Mytilus edulis: one gene and its partner. The protein of the gene in region 1 interacts with the protein of each later gene in a pairwise test. Links are inferred from orthologs where the notes say so. Each region holds a gene or a part of one and is shown in the gene's direction. Other genes may lie near its edges.

Evidence for each region. The genes of interacting proteins can lie anywhere in the genome.
Region 2: the proteins of zinc finger TRAF-type-containing protein 1-B-like (region 1) and ubiquitin-conjugating enzyme E2-22 kDa-like interact in a two-hybrid assay, tested with the Drosophila melanogaster proteins (2 studies listed by BioGRID). The link is inferred for Mytilus edulis from reciprocal best matches to the Drosophila melanogaster genes CG32486 and Ubc4.

What each region holds. Positions count from the first base shown.
Region 1 is NC_092348.1:55,174,846-55,179,353, forward strand, and holds the start of zinc finger TRAF-type-containing protein 1-B-like, read left to right. Parts: upstream 1-1,614; 5' UTR 1,615-1,709; coding exon 1,710-1,910; intron 1,911-4,184; coding exon 4,185-4,423; intron 4,424-4,508.
Region 2 is NC_092351.1:24,261,690-24,265,289, forward strand, and holds the start of ubiquitin-conjugating enzyme E2-22 kDa-like, read left to right. Parts: upstream 1-1,082; 5' UTR 1,083-1,400; coding exon 1,401-1,463; intron 1,464-3,496; coding exon 3,497-3,600. Other genes in the region: ribose-phosphate pyrophosphokinase 2, read right to left, coding at 811-989. UniProt on the Drosophila melanogaster protein: Catalyzes the covalent attachment of ubiquitin to other proteins.

The sequences.
Region 1 (4,508 bases):
AATTTCGATGTTAAGTAACTTTTTTTTTCTATCAAGTTAGCCATGCAAAAACTTTGAAAACAGGAAAAGTGATCAGCGATACAAGAACACCGGCGTGATAAAAAACAAAACGGTTATACAGCCAAAACTGTTTGAGGAATCCTTACAGGAATGTTAGCCATTTAATAGTGAATTATGAATTATTCGTATATTGTTTTATTATCTGGAAAACTATAATTGAAGAAACTGTAAACAGCCAAAAAAAAAATCTCACCAATACAAGAACTACAGTGAATAATGACCTTAATTATTCTTCACTGACTTCATGATAAGCAAAGTATTACTTTTTGTTCAGAAATTAATATAAATTTCAACCAATGATTAGAATGTTAAAAAAAAATAGTTTTTATACCAGGGGAGGACACTGAAAAACAATAGAAGACGAAACTGATAAAAGAAGCATATGCTATACGTTTGACTATAATTTTTCTAACATTCACATCAACTTGCAAGAATATTCATCATGTTGAATGTTGGCGGTATTTGGAAGAAGAAAGAAGAAGAAGATTCTGATCTTTGATTGATAGGTTGTCTCATTTGCAGATTTGCAAAAATACCAAAATCTCCTTAGCTTTATAATTATAATTTAGATGACTCTGTGTCTTACAACACATTGTGTTTAAAAGAAGAAAAAAGTTTAATAATATACAGCAAAACATTATAGGTGAAAATTTAAATATGTTTGGCTATGCACTGTAAATGTAATATAATGGTAATATGATTTTAATATGACCCAAACGATTGGATGACACCTTATCTGTCCTTACTGAATTGCAATTTTTGGCTAAATATCATTTGTTTGCCCTTTTTCTTGAAAACTATTAATGTTAATTAGAATCTGTACAGAAAAATGAACAGCGATACCATACAGGTAGAATAGCTGAAGACTGGTAGGTCAGGAACATACTATTAACTGTTAAATCCTATGTCTGAAAAGGAATTAAAATCTATTTGTATGTATATTGAAGAAGCTCTTGATTTGAGAGACCACCATACCGTTTCACCAGATAATAATCTTTTGCATTAGTTTGTGCATATGCATATATATATATATATAAATCTTATATTGTGTGTTTTAAGTAAATATATGAAAATCTAGAATAATACTGAAATATAAGTTTATGGTATCAATATCAGTTTATAATGTATTTGTATACATAGAATTGGCTCATGACTTGTTACATGAATCTTTATTTCATTTATGTGTTGTTTTAATATTATAATTGTCTGTATTTGGATCACGCCTCTATTGTGCTCTTTCCAATAAAATATTGAATTGAATTGTTAGATATACTGTTCCCAGAGTAGGTCTATAGTATACACATTCTTGGTCGCAAGTTTATGTTTGTTTGATATTGGATTTTTTCTATTTTTTTGTTTGTTTTTGTTGTTGTGAAACGCCAAGGATATGTATAGCACTAAACAAAATATCTTGTCACATAATATGTTGTGAAACCTTGAATGTATGTACCATGTATACAGTGCTTTCAAGTACTTTGATCCGATACTGATAACCGGAAAGTTACGAAGTTACTCGATGAACAAGGTTCGTTTCATTGGTTATCGTTGACGTCATGTTTAGACAGATCACATGATCAAAACAGCAAAACGTCAACATCAACAAACCTCAATCGTAAACAAACCAGTGACCCAGTGACAGCTGAAACGAAATGTCTGACATACCAGGACCATCAGCCCTTGCTATAATGGATGAAAATTCCAACAAGGAAAACATGGACATATTTTATGAACCTGAGAAGAAGAAAGTCAAAGTAGAGGAGAAAGAAAAAGAAAAAAATGCCCTCGAAAATCGCCTTTCCGGAATCTTGTGTTGCGCAGTTTGCTTGGACCTGCCCAAAACCTGTTACCAGGTATGCATTTTTTGTTTCATTCGAATTATCTATTTTCATCTGAATTTGCTAATTTTGGTTTCGAGTATATTAATCACCTCAATAAATATGTATTTCACTGATCGGATATTGCATCATAGCCATATATGGTCATGTCTGCCAACAAATATGCAGAAAAATTTACTTGGAACGGAACTTTTATACCTTAGCAACAATATGGCATGAAACAGAAATTCTGATTTATTGAAATATAAATGTGGCGCGTACGAATGCAATAGAATATGAGAGAATCAGCTCAGGGATTTGCCCAAACACATCTGTCAAAACCAGCTGTGACCTTCATGTTGACCCAAATTATCTCTGACATTGACGGATAGCATGATCACATGATCAACATAATCAGTTGTCCACTTGGCAAACTGCCACCTCATTTAATATGCATATGTATCACATATGGTTTCCCATAATATGAATGAAATATCATGGGAGCAAATCCATATGTAATTCATCGATGCATGAAGTTCACCCTCATAACATGACAGCAAAGTCAAGATAACACAAGATACTACTGATATACACATGAAATATTACATACATGTACATAATTTGATAAATGTTCCCAGGTGTACATTTTGTACATGTATATCTGTGTGTTAAAAGTTATCAGGTACATAATTAAAGAGGGGTCTGGTGGGGTGGTGTCTAATCACGATTCACCAGTTGATTTTTTTGTCAATCACAATTCACAGGAAAACAAATTTCAATGATCACGGATCACCAATTATAAATTTTTTTTTGTAGAAAAACGTATCACGATAGCGTAAATGTGCCAATCACAAAGAATGAAAACCCATCAGGCCCTCTCATTAAAAACATAGTAAAATTATATGTTTTTAATGACTTGCTAACTTTTTGTGTTCATGCAGGTTAGAAAAAAAATACCTTCCAAAAGATATAAGACATCAGATTCAGTGGCCGATCCAGGAATTTTCATAAGTAGTTGCCAACTGACTGCCGTAGAGGGGGCACGCTCGAGTCATACTTCAGTAATTCTCTATACTGTATAAACAACCATTTTTTACAGAAAAGGGGGGCGAGGGCTGAGATTGATTCAAAAACAAATCTCTTAAATATTGGTACATTGCAATAGGAGGGTGATCATGGGGATACCTTCATGAATAATAACGGTATTAAGTTTAACAATAATTTTTGGTGCAGGACAATAAAATGTACGCTTTGTTTTAGCAAAAAAATAGTCTATTTAAGACAAATCACATTTAGTTTTATTCAAATATATCAGTAATGATAATTATTTGAGACCTCTGATGAATCACAATATATATATTTTGACAAATCACTGTAAAATTTAAACCAATTTGACACTAAAGGTACCCAAAAAAGACTGTTTGAAACATGAGGGTAAAGGGCATTCCTACCATCACGTACATGTAGGTTGTACATTTCTACCAACCAGTCGGCACTTCATTGTTTATTGCATTGGTTGTTTGTTTCACATTATCAGCTATAGTGTTTTCCATTAACATATAACATGTACATTTTTAGCTCACCTGGCCCGAAGGGCTTAAAAATAGAACATACATGTAGGGGTAAAATGTAGATTTTGGCTTATAACTCTGAAACCAAAGCATTTAGAGCAAATCTGACGTGGGTAAAATTGTTTATCAGGTAAAGATCTATCTGCCCTGAAATTTTCATATGAATCTGACAACCGGTTGTTGGGTTGCTGCCCCTGAATTGTCAATTTTAAGGAAATTATACCGTTTTTTGGCTAAAATCTTGAATATAATTATAGATAGAGATAAACTGCAAACAACAATAATGTTCAGCAAAGTAAGATCCACAAATAAGTCAACATGACCAAAAAGGTCAGTAGACCCTGAGTTATTGCCCTTCATAGTCAATTTTTAATAATTTTGTAAATTTTGTAAATTTTAACAAAATTTTTTTCCTCTGTAACTAATGGGCCAAGTTCATTATTAATTGAGATAATTGTAAGAAGCAAGAATGTTCAGTTAAGTAAGATCTACAAACACATCACCATCACCAAAACACAATTTTATCATGAATCCATCTGTTTCCTTTGTTTAATATGCACATAGACCAAGGTGAGCGACACAGGCTCTTAAGAGCCTCTAGTTGTAAATCAGAGAAGTTTTATCTTAATAAGTTGTCCATTTATCAAGTTGTTTAAAATCAAGAGATTTTTCATGCATTAATGATTTAATTTATTACTATTTATAGCCATAAATTGCATAAAGAATTATCTTATTTTAGTGTACCAATGGTCATTTGATGTGTGCTGGCTGTATCAATCACGTACTCGCTGATTCAAGACTCAAAGATGAGACAGCAACCTGTCCCAACTGCAGATGTGAAATCAGCAAAAACCTTTGTTCCAGAAACCTGGCTGTGGAGAAAGCAGTGTCAGAACTGCCAACAGAATGCCAGTACTGCTACTGCCATCTACCACGTAACCAGGTTGATTATCATGAACGAGAATTGTGTGAGGAGAGGTAAGACGATGCATCGTCATCGTTAACTTAATTAAGTTTATTAGTTAAGATACTATCACTTGCTCAAGGAGCAAGCACGCGCATG
Region 2 (3,600 bases), on another chromosome or scaffold:
AAGTAGAATTCTATATTTGCATGAGCTTGCGAATGCAATATATGTTCTACGAGGGACAATATTCCCCAATATACACCTTATCGCTATTTGTCCGCCATTACTGGATATCACACAGGTTCCCGTAAAATTTTGACGTCATAAAACAAAATGTCTGACGCCACAATGGAAAAGTGATTGTTATTGACGTCAAAAGTTCAAGCGGCTGGGTCAGCCGGGATTAGCGATAAGGTGTATTCATGCAATAACCCTTTTATTGTATAGCAATATAATATTAGAAAGTTAAAATTGGTTTAAACTAAGATTTTGTCGTTGATGACATCATTAATTTCAAAGATTTATTACTCTAGTGCAATATTGGAATTTATTGCACGCTAACTTTTGGATACTTTCTGTGGGAAATATTATATTGCTATGCAATAATGTGATATATTGTGTATTGACATTTTCCTCTATGTGAATGGAGGTGTGCCTTGATTGGCAGAACTACGTTAACAGAATCAGAAACAGAATATGGTCGAAAGAACTTGATGAGAATAGACCAAGGGCGACCAGAAACCTATGTCTAAGCCATGATCCCACATAATTTTACTCACATTTATAATGAGAAAATCATTGGAAATGCCTAGTAATTTTTTTAAACATGCAAATTAAAAACCAACTTTCAAATCTCATCATGTGTAACAGCTGTCTCACATAAGAAATATCAACTCTAAAACCTAATTTTCAACGAGTGTCACTATTCAGGTCAAATAGTCTGTTGGTGCCCCATGGGCATGGATACAAAATAATGATAAAATCACTCATGATCACCTGCATTCACCGTTGCTAAATTTTTTGGTAACAACTTTGCCTTGTTCTATTCCAAGACGATCGCAAATTTTCTGTGCAAGATCAACATGAGAACTTCCACTAAAAACCTTAATGTTAGGCATTCTTCCGAAGTCTGTCAAGCTTTTTGATTCAGAAATTTGTTTACGAATACCCAACATTAAACACGTTTGGCCTCAGGATGCATGTGAGTATTTTCATTTCTACGCTTGGTTGTAACGGATGTTACTGTAAAGCGTGAACATGATTAAGACAACTTGACCCTAAGATTGACCTTATATGACCTAATATATTTCAACGAAACGTAGAAAATAGTTAACTTCAATGAAACATTAGCGGAATTATATATAATTCTATCTTATTTTATCGCAAATATATTTAATTCAAAAATTTCCGTGATTAAAGTAAAAAGTTCAGTTTTGTATTTAATGCGCAACTTTCCATGTGCTCACTTCCGGAACAAGCACTGTTGAAAAAAACATTGAAAGTGTTACTCATCCCGTTTAAAAATTAATTCTATTGATTTATTTTGCCCTTAACTTGTGATTGATGTAACATTTTGTCTTGTAAATATGGCCAATATTGCTGCTGCTCGAATACAAAGAGAATTCAAAGAAGTGGTTAAAAGTGAAGAGGTACAGACTGCTATGTTCTTTGAGATATATTCCATCTATAAACAGCAGATTTATTTCATGATCACACCGACTCCAAAAGCCAATCTTTATCATGAAATGGTTTCAATCTAGAACCATATATTTACTGATTTCATCATGGACTTATCATTTCCTTATCAGGACAGAAGTGAATATGAGTTATGACCAAGACATTTTAACAGGACAACCTGAAGGAGACTATTCCTAGTTACCTAATTTCCTGATTGATGGGTAACATCCCCAAATTCATGGTTAATAGCTCAGATCACTCTTGTCATTGCCATTGATGCTAAAAGTTGTGAATTTTGGTCTGATGGCAAAATTTCTACATCACTATTTAGTATTATTCCCAGTTTAATAAGCATAATTATTTCATACTCAACTTTAAAAAGAAGATGTGGTATGATTGCCAATGAGACAACTCTCCACAAGAGACCAAAATGACACAGAAATTAACAACTATTAAGGTCACCATACAGCCTACAACAATGAGCAAACCCACACTGCATAGTCCGCTAGAAAAGGCCCTAAATGACTTATAACATGTAGATTGATAATAATAATAATAATAATAAATTCTTTATTTAAAGAGGGTAAACTCAGTTAGTTACAATAAACTAATCTTCCTCACCAAGGCAGAAACCAATATGGGGAAATTGAGTTGACTGCAATAAGGAATGTTCCAATAATCACCTGTACAGGCTTATTTTGTGTGTGACTTGCTTTGTAGAATCTGGGACGGTTCACCTTGATTTATGCTCACTCTGGGTCTGACTACCCCAATACCAATGAATATACACATTTTATTTTGTATTCTGTATCATGTCACTTAATTTATAGTATAGAGGTTTATTTAAAAGTTAACTTTCACACATAATTTGATATTCATTTTAAACAAAACAGCATGCATTATGAATAAGCATGATAAGTAAAAAAATAAAAGTTACGTGATTAGCATGATTAGTGCAAGCTATCAAGGTTAAACTCTGAACAGGTGTAAAAAGCTTATGCATCTATTTCCCATACAGAAACATGATAAAAGAAACTTGCATGTAAATAAATGAAAAATCCCAATGTCCTACATGTCCTAGCTATATACAAACAATTTGAAGTACAGACTTTATTCTGGCAAACTTTACAGTTAAACTAATTGTTCTGCGCCTCTGGGTGCATGGGATGTTTTGATTGACAAATAAAAAATGCTGTTGTTGTAAACAGTCTTTTATCATTTGAACTACTCCTGACAGACATGAAACAATGACAACCACTAAACTACAGTAAGCCACATATAGAATTTGGCAGGGTTAAACATGTTTGGAGGTGCCAATCCTTCTCTAACCCAGGACAGCAATGTAACTGCACAACACAGAACAAACTTAACAAATAAAACTAAAGGGAAAACAAATGAGAAAACAAAAAACAATAACTACTCAATTACAGGCTACTGACAGTCTTTTGAAACATGTTTATCAGGCATATAAAGAATGTTGCATGGTTAAAAAGGTGCCAATGCAACCCTCAATTAACCTGGAAAAGTAATGTACAATGTAACAGTGCAACATAAAAACAAATACTTAAAATCAGTTGAAAAAGATCTAGATCTTATTACAGTGTTGAATTGCATTTGGCAACCTTTTAGAATAAGATATTCAACATGTTCTAAGGATTAAATAAGTTTACCTGTTGTGTTTCTGCACTCTTACAGTGAAAGTTACTTTACCTAGACTCAAACAAATATTTTGAAACTTAAACACATTGGTTTTTACCACCAAACACTGGTCATGTTCAAATTTGAGTGGCATCACTTGCACTGTTCATGTCCCTTTATAAATGAAAAAAATGTAATTTGTTGTATATTTACAAGCCCTAGACATCTGTCCTATGGATATATTCTTCATTTATTTAAGTTTAACAAAAATAACATACAAGTGGAAAGTGATAATGAGTAGATTTTACCTTCTTACAAATATCTAACATACATGTATAACTAAATGCGTTTATCTTTTATAATCCAGGTGGAACGCTGTAAGATAAAAGTATCACTGAAAAATGATATGTATAATGAGTTAGAAGGGACGATAGCAGGACCTCCCGACACACCATATGCTGGAGGAACATT